Linked DNA regions of Kluyveromyces lactis. The protein of the gene in region 1 interacts with the protein of each later gene in a biochemical or structural test. Links are inferred from orthologs where the notes say so. Each region holds a gene or a part of one and is shown in the gene's direction. Other genes may lie near its edges.

The links.
Region 2: the proteins of UBI4 (region 1) and RQT4 form a complex in vitro, tested with the Saccharomyces cerevisiae proteins (2 studies listed by BioGRID). The link is inferred for Kluyveromyces lactis from reciprocal best matches to the Saccharomyces cerevisiae genes UBI4 and RQT4.
Region 3: the proteins of UBI4 (region 1) and REV1 are reported together in a solved structure, tested with the Saccharomyces cerevisiae proteins (2 studies listed by BioGRID, with this or other methods). The link is inferred for Kluyveromyces lactis from reciprocal best matches to the Saccharomyces cerevisiae genes UBI4 and REV1.
Region 4: the proteins of UBI4 (region 1) and CUZ1 form a complex in vitro, tested with the Saccharomyces cerevisiae proteins (2 studies listed by BioGRID). The link is inferred for Kluyveromyces lactis from reciprocal best matches to the Saccharomyces cerevisiae genes UBI4 and CUZ1.

What each region holds. Positions count from the first base shown.
Region 1 is NC_006041.1:74,448-77,567, reverse strand, and holds UBI4 (ubiquitin), read left to right. Parts: upstream 1-1,474; coding exon 1,475-2,620; downstream 2,621-3,120. Other genes in the region: ECM29 (Ecm29p), read right to left, coding at 2,884-3,120. UniProt on the Saccharomyces cerevisiae protein: Ubiquitin exists either covalently attached to another protein, or free (unanchored).
Region 2 is NC_006042.1:1,284,802-1,288,147, forward strand, and holds RQT4 (Rqt4p), read left to right. Parts: upstream 1-1,349; coding exon 1,350-2,846; downstream 2,847-3,346. Other genes in the region: GSM1 (Gsm1p), read right to left, coding at 2,957-3,346.
Region 3 is NC_006042.1:2,180,751-2,184,785, forward strand, and holds REV1 (deoxycytidyl transferase), read left to right. Parts: upstream 1-1,235; coding exon 1,236-3,725; downstream 3,726-4,035. Other genes in the region: pyruvate kinase PYK2, read right to left, coding at 4,001-4,035. UniProt on the Saccharomyces cerevisiae protein: Deoxycytidyl transferase involved in DNA repair. Transfers a dCMP residue from dCTP to the 3'-end of a DNA primer in a template-dependent reaction.
Region 4 is NC_006040.1:935,478-938,175, forward strand, and holds CUZ1 (Cuz1p), read left to right. Parts: upstream 1-1,385; coding exon 1,386-2,198; downstream 2,199-2,698. Other genes in the region: GPA2 (guanine nucleotide-binding protein subunit alpha), read right to left, coding at 1-261. UniProt on the Saccharomyces cerevisiae protein: Promotes efficient arsenite-induced clearance of stress granules (SGs). May have a role in the ubiquitin-proteasome system (UPS) protecting cells from metalloid-induced proteotoxicity.

The sequences.
Region 1 (3,120 bases):
ATCAATACTTAAAGCTAACTGATATAATGCAAATGTAACCCCATTAGTAGTTGTACTATTTACTTTTGCCTAAAAAAAAATTCCTGTTTTTGTTTGTGCTGTCTCCCCTTTTCACTATCGATACGAGAAAAAAGTACAGAAATTGTTGCATTTTCTTCTAAATTCGACTAAATTAAATGCCGCTCAATCGCCTACGGCAGCCTACATGCCTATCAGAGAACTTCTTGGACTCCTTACTTAATGAAGTCCCTTTCCTCGGATGCTGAATGGAGAAAGACCATACAGCTCAATATGATGGAAAGTGTCACCTGAGTATACGACAAAGGCGTTAAGAACACCGCTATCATAAAAAGAGTCGAAAAAAAAGTGTCATCTAGGACTATAAGACAAGTAATATCGAAGAGATTCTGGGCAGTCCGAATTATCCCGCCAGGAACCTCAATGACAGAGATATTTGGCCTGGGTATGTTCCGGGAGCATCTGAAAGGTCAAGAATGAATTTAGGAGAAGCCAGGCAGATAAAATATGATGTATGTTACCCTGATTTAATCACGTGGATGACTTCGAGTCACTTTTTTCGTCTGTCTGTATCTTAGATTCTCCCCGCAAGTCTAAAAAAAAAGGATAAACTTCATTGTTCCATGAGTTTCCATGGTTACCTCTGCATATACACACTGTACTGCAGAAGGTATCAGTGGATACAAAGCGGTATGCTCTTTACTCTGAACAATCAAAGTTAGCAGTTCATTCCATATATCCCCGCTCTTCGTCATGCAATCATAAACCTCAAGTCATGGCGATCTGTAAGCCGGAGAAAAGATTCATTGCAAACAGTTAAAGATACAAGGCTGAAATACAGAGATGGCTGCAACGTAACAGATTCCAAACTGCCGGTTTTCCATCGAATTCCCTCTCGGGAAATTTTTCTTTTCAAACGGCCACCTTAGGCCGAGCGAAACTGATTACACTGGATGCTTTTATATAAATAGTGATCACTTGGGCGGCCGCCTTTTTTTCTCTCGTATTTGCCACTTCTGATTGTTCTTTCCCCCGTTTATTCTCTAAATACGTTTATCTTTTTCTAAGATATTATTCGGGTTAGATACTATTACTACCTATATCGCATTCATATATCTATTCTGAAAGTTTGGACAGCATAGCAGCTATCATTATTGTTCTTATTTTCATTTTTTGTGCTATATTCTCCGTTATTAGTAAGAACTGATAGGGAGATAAAATAAAAGAAATAAGCGAACAAGTTCCTTTTTTTTTAAAAAAAAAAGGGAGTATATATAAAAACAAAAGGGTTATTTTGGCAGTTTGTTTCCTGATATTATTAACAACATCATATTGGTTAAGAAGGAGCATCAAGAGTTTCTCTCATAGAAGATACTGACTCAAGGTTATACTATTTCACCCCAAATTATTTACCCCCCCCCCTCTCATTCCCCTTAAAACTAGATCAAGAGAAAACATGCAAATTTTCGTTAAGACTTTAACTGGTAAGACTATCACTTTGGAAGTTGAATCTTCTGACACCATCGATAACGTGAAATCGAAGATTCAAGACAAAGAAGGTATCCCTCCAGACCAACAAAGATTAATTTTTGCAGGTAAGCAGTTGGAAGATGGCAGAACCTTGTCTGACTATAACATCCAAAAGGAATCCACTTTACATCTTGTCTTGAGATTAAGAGGTGGTATGCAAATTTTCGTCAAAACCTTGACTGGTAAGACCATCACTTTGGAAGTCGAATCTTCCGACACCATCGATAACGTCAAGTCTAAGATTCAAGACAAAGAAGGTATCCCTCCAGACCAACAAAGATTAATTTTTGCAGGTAAGCAGTTGGAAGATGGCAGAACCTTGTCCGATTACAACATCCAAAAAGAATCCACTTTGCATCTTGTTTTGAGATTAAGAGGTGGTATGCAAATTTTCGTCAAAACCTTAACCGGTAAGACCATCACTTTGGAAGTCGAATCTTCCGACACCATCGATAACGTCAAGTCTAAGATTCAAGACAAAGAAGGTATCCCTCCAGACCAACAAAGATTAATTTTTGCAGGTAAGCAGTTGGAAGATGGCAGAACCTTGTCCGATTACAACATCCAAAAAGAATCCACTTTGCATCTTGTTTTGAGATTAAGAGGTGGTATGCAAATTTTCGTCAAAACCTTAACCGGTAAGACCATCACTTTGGAAGTCGAATCTTCCGACACCATCGATAACGTCAAGTCTAAGATTCAAGACAAAGAAGGTATCCCTCCAGACCAACAAAGATTAATTTTTGCAGGTAAGCAGTTGGAAGATGGCAGAACCTTGTCTGACTATAACATCCAAAAGGAATCCACTTTACATCTTGTCTTGAGATTAAGAGGTGGTATGCAAATTTTCGTCAAAACCTTGACTGGTAAGACCATCACTTTGGAAGTCGAATCTTCCGACACCATCGATAACGTCAAGTCTAAGATTCAAGACAAAGAAGGTATTCCTCCAGACCAACAAAGATTAATTTTTGCAGGTAAGCAGTTGGAAGATGGCAGAACCTTGTCTGACTATAACATCCAAAAGGAATCCACTTTACATCTTGTCTTGAGATTAAGAGGTGGCATCTAATGGTAAAGATTTATTTCATATTTCCGATTACTGGAGTGAAACTCGATAGGGAGTTTATTAACGAGCTTGAGACCACGCAAAGCCGTTGTATCATTTATACTCAATTCAATTTTTTTTTTTTTTGCATTTTTTTTTTTTCCTTACATTCTTTGGATAAAAAGTTTAGGGTCTTGTATATATTATATACATTTTCAGAGATACATAACAACTATGATAATGTTATAAATAGTAGAAGATAGTAATATATCATCCGTTGGCAATTTCTACTGAGATATTCCAATATTTAAAGCTTCAGCTTTCAATACTGAGGAGTCATCCACTCTAAGAATCTCCAAAATGCCAAAGTCGACCATGGTATTGGTGTGGGGGAACTTTTCTTTCAATAGCCCACCATACCTTATCAGCTTTATCTTGACACTTTCAATAACTTCTTTCTTGTTGCATAGAGCGTGGCCATATTTCCAGATATCAATGAAAATGTGAGATACATCATTTGAGGA
Region 2 (3,346 bases), on another chromosome or scaffold:
CAGTGGTTGATGAAGCTGATTTATGTCTACAACTAATTAATACAAAAATTCTCTAGAAGATGGGAAAACTGTTCCATCATGAAGAAGGGCACAACGGAGAGTGAAAATCCAAACTCTCAGGCAGCCATTACGCAAAGCCCTCTGGATCACATGCAACACCTGGAAGAACAACTAGAGCGAGCTGTTAAACCGCTTCTAATCATCACTTTCCAGACCTCTTCATAATGGTTAAAAGAAAGAAGTGATGCAAAAAACCGGGAAAAGGAAGAGACTTCCCCTCCCAACTCAATGCGCTTCCAACTTTATTGATCTAAGAAACCGGAAACGAAATGGAAACTGTGGCCAGCTTGTTTGGGGCTAGTCAGGATCCATTCAGCTATGGGTTAAAAAATGGTAACAGTCACTCTTCTCCAGTATTAACTAAAGCCGTTCCTAGATCTCCGAAGAAACCTAGGAAAAACTTCTTGAGAAAAGAGATAACCGAAACCGTAGGTTTCTATGGTGTATATGTGTATTAATATTATCTTGAGATAGTACTAACCACTACTGATGATTGGTTTATTAAGAACAAACATCAAAAAGATTTTCCAATCTTTGAACTGTAAGAGTGTTTGAAAGAGGTTCAAAGTGTTGAAAAATTTGCCACTTTTATACTATTGATCGGAAAGATTACCCGGACATACGTCTCTACTATTATAATTGATTTAGGGTTTTACCAGGTAAGATATCGTTGACCAGACAAGCATGTTGCAGATATTTGGGGCCCTTCATGGTGTATATTGCCTAGTCGAGAATCAGTTTATATGAAATGTAAATCTGTTCATCCAAGTGGGATCTTTTGAGTCGAACTTATAAGCAATATACTGCTCATCTTGCCCATGCAGCTCGTCCTACTCACTGCACTGCTTAATAAGTGTCAATATCCAGGAACTTCGGTTACTTAGAGTAGTACCCAGCTTCTGGGCTGTGGCACCAGCAGTAACTATACCGTTTAGATTTATATATAGTTATAGAAAGGTTCGGGTATTAATGTCTGTCAGTCCAAGATAATGTGACGTTAACAACCATTTGACAGTAAAGCTTCCGAAGCTGCTACTTTCGATCCAAGTTCTCGAGTCTATGATTCTTCATGAGATCACCTGGACAGCCACCCAATTGTTACAATAGACCTCTTGTTGGCTGATCGGTTCCACCTTTTCTTTCATAACTTGAGAACTCTCATCTTTTAAAGTGAAAAAGTCTAATATTGAGAGATGAGCCTTAGCAACTGAGAAAGTAACTACTCGTATCCAAACAACACAGTAAAAGGATATACATAGCACTGGAATAATATTGCCAAAACAGTCACAATGACGAAAGAGGATGCTATTGAGTATGCTATAAAGGAATTGCCCAACATTTTGCCACTAGATACAGAACAGATCAAAGATCTATGTGAACAGACGATAAAAGAAGGCAACAACCCTGAACAGATAGCCCAATCCTTTTTTGATCTTTTAGGGCAAGACGACTCATCGGTACATTTCATATTTGAGTTCAATGAGAGGCTCATGGAATTGCCCCGTAAAACGGCTGTCAAGAAACCAATAGTGAACGAAACAACCAATACTAAAAAAGTGATATCTCCATTGATTAATACTGTGAAAACCAATGATTCCAGGGCCGAGTTCGCCAACAAGTCTATTCAAGCAACGAAACCGATATTGAATAGAGAATTAAAAAAGGTACCGACTGCCAAGGCTGTGAAAAAGGATTCGGGGAAAGAGAGTAAAGAAGTCAGATTAGATTCATTGAAGGATATCGATGATGTGTTAAAGATGTTGGAGATGAGGTCAGTCTCTGGGGATTCCGGTCAATATAAATGCAATTGCCAGGGAACAAGGCACCCAATATTCGATCCTGCACCAAACTGTCTGTCATGTGGCAAAATAATATGTGTCAAAGAAGGTTTGCATATGAACAATTGCAGCTTTTGCGGAGCTGAATTAATCCCAGCTAAGGAACGCGAACAAATCTTAGAATTGCTACGGTTAGAGAGAGAACAAATAGAGCTTCAGAAAGTTGAAGAGAACAAGCCCAAGCCGAAGCAAACCAAGAAATATAAGATTAAATCTGGTGCAGGCACAAATTTATGGCAAGAACAAGAGAAAATGCTACAAAGAGTGGAGAAAGATCGGGAACAAGAGAGAGAGATTAAACGACAACAAATATTGAATGGGGAGTCAAAGGAAGAAGAGGAGGATGAACAACTTATTGAAGCACGAAATCGACTCGACAAGCTACTTCATTTCCAGGATACCAGTGCTGAAAGAACCAAGATCATTGACAATGCTAGTGATTTCGCTATGAATGAAGATGTCATGTGGGGTTCTGCTTACGAAAGAGCATTACAACTAAAGAAACAGCAAAGAAATTTACGAAAATGGGAAAAGATTGAGAATGAACGCAATGGAAGGCGTGAAAAGGTCGTCTTGGACTTGACGATCGGTAAGGATGGTAAAGTTGTTATGACAGAAGCAGTTAGAAAGAGCAGCAAAAAAACGAATGCAACTAGTGATGATGAAATAGATGATATTAGCGATGAAGAAGATCTCCAAGACTTGGAAGATATCAAGAATTTGAAGTTAGAGATAAATCAACAAAAACAGAAGGAGAGTTCCAAGTTAACAAACAATGTTTGGGATTATAACAAGGCGCAGTCGGAGTTTAAGAAACCTGTATACATAGCAAACGCTGAGGAAGAAAAAGAATCTGCTCCTAAAAAGGTATCAAATGAAGTTCATCGTGTCCAAGTAGGTATTGATGATAGACCATCACTTCAAGATAGCATTTTGGCAATTTTGTGAAATTTGTCTGCCCGGACCGCCGATGTTTCCATAATCAATAAATAAATGTGTTGGAAAATTTATATATAGTTACATATCGAGCAAGCGTTACGGTTGGAACAATTCGACTATCATTCAATATCGAAAATTGGTAAGAACTGGCCCATTATTAACATTGGAATATTAAATGCATCTCTTTTAACTGTCCAAATACATGCACACCGTAGATAGCATCCATTCTTTAACAAAAGGTTACATTCGCTAAAAATAGCCTGACCATCAGAAGTTCCGGTCGATGAATTGAAGGGCCCACTTTGAGTTGAACCAAATGCCAAATACTCATGGAATATATCATAGTAATCTACTATGCTTTCATTGTCCATGAATTCCATGATAAACTTTCGTTTGTTTAAAATCTCCTTTTTGTTGAACCCGGTAAGGGATATAAATTCATTAGAAGCAAAGCATATCTCCCCTGACCTTCTCCATATACACATTGGGGTACAATTTACAAGTTTGGC
Region 3 (4,035 bases), on another chromosome or scaffold:
GAAAGGGGAAAAACGTATTATAGTTCACATTCCAGCCCATTTTCAAACTGGTCGTTAGGAAATACGTATGTTAGGGTGCACCCATTCTGGAAACGCTGCCTATATCTTTCGTGGACGGGAAGAGGATAAGGAACGTTTCATCTTAACTCCTGCCAGCTTCCGCTCATGGACAGTGTGTTTTTGGGTTCATCCGTAGGGGAATGGCACCACTTAGTGCTCTGGCGTGCGTTTTAATCCTGTTCAACATGCTTTTCAGTGGAAGGGTGTGAAAAGGGCCAAACATGCAATCGCCGCAGTAGATAAAACGTCGGATAAACCTTACATAGGAAGCTCAATGAATGGGAAAATATTATGCTCAGAATGGGAATTTTGCGTCAAGATGCGTGGGAAGTGGTGTGGTTTTTCCTACTGAGCTTTCTACTGAGTATTTCCAGCTGCTCATCTCGGAAAAACTAAGACAAAAAAAAGAAAATAGAAGACGTACAAAGTGCTTTGCGGAAAAACATTTTGTTTTTCTGCTGCGTGTTTGTCTTTGGTTTTTGGGTTCAGATTCGGATAAACAACCGTCGTTTATTGCATGCTTTCTATCGCTTCTACGGCAAACCTGTGCCCCTGGTATATGTGGCACCATACGTCTCCCAATAGACACCTTTCAATTTTCATAGCTTAGCGAGGGGTTGGATATCAACAACAATAACCGGACTGTTTATCTTTTTTTTATTGATCTACCGGTTCTTTTAGAACGATTACGTCCAACTGGTCAACGTTTTTGTCTTTGTATGGTGAAAATCTTGAAAAAAAATCCACTTAGAAAAAAAAAGGAAGCAGTCAAACATTTTTCCCCCTGGAACCATTTTTTGAAGCTTTACAAAAAGAGTAGTAGAAAATATGGGAAGAGGTTGAATATTACTGTGATTTGCTTGGTAACATTGGTTTCCCGTCGTGTCTGTGCGTGTGTGTATATCGGTCATTGTCTGATTTCAATAACTTATAAACAAAGTTAGGGAAAAATCGAGACTACGCGGACTCTGAACAGCGGAGGAGTTCTACACATCAATATACGGACACAAATGTACTTCTAGAAAGTACCTTGCTATAACAATAGTGTATCTATCAGATTCCAGCCCTTGTGTTATCAATAATCAGCTTGAGCATTTATTTTCCTTTTGTCCTTATCTGGTCATTGACGGAGACTTCAGAGTTCTGGACTGGTTTTACTCATAACTCCGAATGCCATGAACAATAAAGAGGAGGAGCAAGACGTAACTGCAAGTTTCAACAGAAATGAACCAGATATAGCATCCTCCTCGAGTGTTGGATATTCAGGGTATGGAGAATATTTTCATAATAAGGAACTTCAACAGTTGGAAAGTGATGTTCAATTCAGACAGAAATATCAAAAAGAACATCGAGTTTCAAATCCTACACTTTTTCAAGGGTGTACTATCTATGTGAATGGACGTACGAATCCAACTCGATTTCAACTCCATAAACTAATTATTTTACATGGTGGGACTTTCAAGCATTACCTTAGTGGGAAGACTGCAGTCACCCATATACTTGCAACAGAGTTAAATGCATCCAAGAAATCATCTTTTGCCAATTTCAAGGTTGTCAGCCCCGAATGGGTTACTGAGTCTATTGCTCGAGGGAAGCTTTTACCATGGCAAGACTTTAGAATTGTCCAAGTTTCCAGATTACAGGGAAAGATTACAGATTTCGCAACAGTACGGAACTGTATGGATCCGAACTTCATTAATGCTTTTTTCAAATCCTCAAGACTACACCATTTATCGAACTGGAAATTCCAGTTAAGAGATAACTTCGTGAAAGAATTCATTTTGTCATATAACGACACAATTCCTGATCAAAAATATGTGTATTTCCACATTGACTTTGATTGCTTCTTTGCCCAAGTGTCTGCTAAAATCGATGGTAAATACGATATACATGCCACACCTATCGCTATTTCTCATGGTATCAACAATTCTGATATATCCAGCTGCAATTATGTGGCTCGTTCTTTTGGTGTTTATAACGGTATGTGGGTATCATCTGCTTTGAAACTATGCCCGGACTTGAAAATATTAGATTATGAATTTGATGAATATGAAGCAATTTCAAATTTATTCTACAGCGCTCTAAAAGATATTGGAATCTTCAAAATGGTATTGCCAATTTCTATAGATGAAGCAATAGGTTGCATGTTGATTACCCCCGATATTACCTCTGAATTGTTAACTCAAAAATGCATGCAAGTGAGAAATGCCGTCTATAATGTTACTCAAGGATACTCTGTCAGTGTTGGGTGCGGGCCATCCGTATTGCTAGCTCGTTTAGCCCTAAGGAAAGGGAAACCAAACGGGTTCCATATTTCTTGGTTTGATACTGTTACTGAATGCCATGCATTCATAGATCACTTTAAGTTAAAAGATCTTCCTGGTATTGGTTATAGCACAGATCTGAAAATAAAAGAACAATTTGGAAATGTTCAAAACATCTCTGACTTAAGAGATCTTTTAGAAAGGCCAAGCAACGTTTCTAAACTAATAAAAGTGATTGGTTCCAAAAATACCAAGAAACTTCAGATTTACCTTGATGGTAAAGATGACGACGAATCCATAAGTATGGTAAAGGATCCTCATACGTACTTTCAAAAGAAATCCCTCTCAGTAGAAATAAATTATGCCATAAGGTTTAAGACCATAGACGATGTTGATATTTTCCTTGAACGGCTCGCACTCCATTTATGGGAAAAACTTAGGGATTCAAATTTAATGACAAGACAAATAACTTTGAAATTAATGAAGAGAGCTCAAGGCGCACCTGTAGATCCACCAAAATTCATGGGTATGGGTAAATGTGACGCTCTTAGTAAAGTCAGTAACTTAGGAACTAATACACAAAAATTTGGTACAATTGCTTCGGAATGTAAAACTTTATTTAGAATCTTAAGTGTTCCTCCAGAGGAAGTTAGAGGAATTGGTATTCAATTTCACAGGTTAACTGATTCGAACCAAAAAGTGGGGCAAAAGTCGGAACAAAGGGAAATTACGACTGATTTATTTAGAAAACGAGACCATCCGGATGATGACATCACTAACGAACCCTCCAAAGTAGCCGAGCCACATACTCCAGTTAACCCAACATATACTTCTCCCGTAAAAAACTATTGGGATCGCCATCTAAAGCGAAGTATCACCCCATTTCAATATGACTTTCCTGACCAACTCGATCCTGAATTTATGTCCAATTTACCCAAAGATGTTCAAGAAGAGATTACATCTCATCATAAGGTTGTTAAAAAAGCCAATCGTTCTTTGAGAACAAAATTGTACGATGATCCCAGAAAGCAAATTAAGCAGACGCAAGATTTACACTTCATACACGATGGGAGGCTTGTTCCGCAGCTTTCGTTCCAGGGATTAAGTTCTGCGAAACAGATTTCTGAAACTCTTATCGACTGGGTGGACGCCACAGTGGAGGATGGCCCCCATGAAAAAGATCTTGAGTTATTCACTAGCTATCTTGATAAGTTAGCGGAGCAAGGCAGATGTCATATTATACTACATTTGATTAAAACCATAAAAAATAGGGTTGATGATCACTACAACGCGAATCATGAAGGTTTAGAGCAATGGGAATACTTCTTGATTCGTCGACTAATTCCTATATTAAATAAAGCAAAACCTGATGTGAAGTTCAACTTAGTGTTTGATTTATAATTGAATATCCATCTAATACTTGTTGGGATGAAAGCATGCATGATCATTGCGCCCAATTTTTTTAATTAGTAATTACTCTTTCCATGCACTCATTTGTTTATTAATTATTCATCTTTCGACACAACGTAAGTATAATAGTAGAGTACAATCTAATTGTCTTTTTCTTTACCTAAAATATATATATTAATTAGAAAATGTTTGTCTATGGCTTCATAAGTTGCATAATCAAGTCTAATGGTGATCGACAAGATTTTAGTCCAATTTTACCCAGTATCTTAAACGGTCAAGACACGTAGAGTGTTGGAGTTAC
Region 4 (2,698 bases), on another chromosome or scaffold:
AGTATTACCTACGCCGTTACTTACAGTACCGTCTTCCGATACAGTACTGATTTTGGTCTTACCACTACTGCTATTATTAATATTCGAAGCAGCATTTACGATAGAACCTTTAGCCTTTTTATTCTTCTTGTCCTGCTTCTTGTCACCAGCTCCTTTCCTAACATCATTCCGCCTGTTAGCATCGTTTGCACCGGGACGATTCACTCTGGGACCCCCATCGTGAGTCGACTCCCGAGAATCCTTTGAGGCACATAAACCCATATCGTCAGCTAACCTTTTTCTTTTCCCAGCACGCTATGCAAATATGGTCGCTCAGCTTTCCTAAATTGGTTGGAAACTTAGTGATTTCTTAGACGTTCTATTTCAGAATATACCAACACCTGTTCTTAGAATTTTCCCTGTCCTTTTCCTTTCGTAAAGTTCTTTCAAATCAAACGTTATATGATTTTTCAATAATGTTAACCTGCTCAAAGAAACGAAAAAAATGGTGAAAACTGGTTTCTACGCTGGTTTGTGAAGGATACGCTGTGGTTAAAATGATGTGATATGCAATCGGTAGACCACTTTGTTGTCGGCTGTCAGACAGAAGTTGGTCGGTATTATATAGGGAGTATTTGAAATATAAGAAAGGGGAACTAGGAATTACTAAGATCCTTATTATTACGAGTTGTTTCAGCTGGAACTGTGCTCCCTTAAATACCATGCTCGTTATGTGGGTAGTTTGAACATGCAAAAAATTGCAAAATATTAATACCTCAGCTATCCATTCCAACTGATGGATTTTCCAAGTGGTTTTCCCTTCTCGTAGAAACTGAATATACACTCTTTACAATTGGGACTGACAAGCCTTTCGAAGAGATGTCAGTTTCTACATGGTGATTAGAAACTCGAGTGGAAAAACTTCTGGAGACACCCAGCATGATCACTGGAGAACAACATTTATGTAAAGAATAAACCTGTAGCCTCGGCTGAATGTACTGTATAGGAGAGAAGACCATTGGAATAGCTCCGTTTGTGTTACTATTAAGAGTAGCTGTAATTGACACATTGAGACAGGAACACTCGTTACCCGAATATTATAAATACATTTGTCACGTGATTTTGCTGGCATCTTCCACAGTATTCTCTCATAGACTTGTGTAAAATGAAGATGAGTAAGGCAGAGATCATCACTGGCTATGATATGGATGGCGGGACGTATTTGTCATATCGCTTATATATATAAAGAGCACCTGGCAAGGCCGATAATATACACAGGTTGTTTGCCACTTGGGATGAGTTTCTCACTTTGATATCGATTTGTGTTATTTGTGTTTTATAGAACTCCAGGTCCGGGACCAAGACTGATCAAGGGCTAAAAGAAGAAATAATACAGTTGATAAACAATGACTAAAGAAGTTGGTATGCTAGATGTCGGCACACACTGTTCGTTTTGTCGACAGACTGATTTCCTACCGTTCCATTGTTCTGCTTGCAACGGTGATTTTTGTGCCAACCATAGATTGAAGGAAGATCATCACTGTGAATCACTGAAGATAGGTAAGAATAGCCGCAGCAGTGTCACAGTTAGTATTCCTGCTGCTGCTGCTGCTGCTGTCACTCCGAAGAAGGACAATGGTGGTAGCTTCTTTCAATCTTTGTTACCTGCCAGAGCACCAGATCGGATAAAGACCATGATGCAAGAGGATAACTCGAAACCACCGGTAGATAACCTAAAATCGAAGCTTTTCAACAGTAAAACCTCCAGTTCTCGTGTAGCTATCGATAAACTACGGCATTTTTTCGCCAAGAACGGTAAATTATTCGAGAGTAAGAAATCTACTACCAAATTTTCTTCTGCCAATAAGCTAATACAAGTCACTAAGATGAAGCGCACTGCAAAGGGAGATGATTCTATCCCTGTCGCAAATAGAATATACGCATGGTGTTACGTGGTGGCGGACTCTTCGGATAAGAAACCCATCGCGAATGAAGTGTTCATAAATAAGATGTGGCCAATTGGAAGAGCTTTGGATTCCTTGGCATCTGTGCTAAACGTGAAAAATTCAAACATCGACCATTCGATATCAACAGATGAGAAGTTATTTTTGTACAAAGGTGATGCTTCTACTCAGCATCTATTACCCTCGAGTGCGCGAGTCAATGCCACCATCCAGGAAGGTGATACTTTATATTTGGTAAGAGGGTTAGGTCGATGATTGCAACGCCGCGTAATGGAATCTGAAGGATAAAATAGCACATTCTTTTGGTCTTTACTTATAGCATAGTTCATGTAGTTTCGTAATTACGTCTTACAGTCAAACACAATGACACTTGTCACGTGACAGATTAAGTTGTCGAAACATTACTGCATCAAGCTACAGACATGGTACCAGCCGAGTGCGTTTCGCCCAAGCTACAAATCCGGGTAATAGCAACTGCGGCAAATATGGACGGTTCTTACATTTGGAAATACCCTGCGGCCGCAGTGATTTCTCACAAAGAACGTAAGTATTAATCTGCCAAAGAGTGGCCCGGTCAAGGTGACTAAACCAAGATAATTTGGTGGCTGGGGATTTTAAGGTAGGCTCTCAATCGACTTTGTACGCTCGAGCATTGTTTCTAGTTGCTTCTGTGCATTATACTGACATCTCAAGAAGACAATTAATACTCGCCGTAATTACACTAGGACTCGTTATGTGACAAATACAATTTCCGA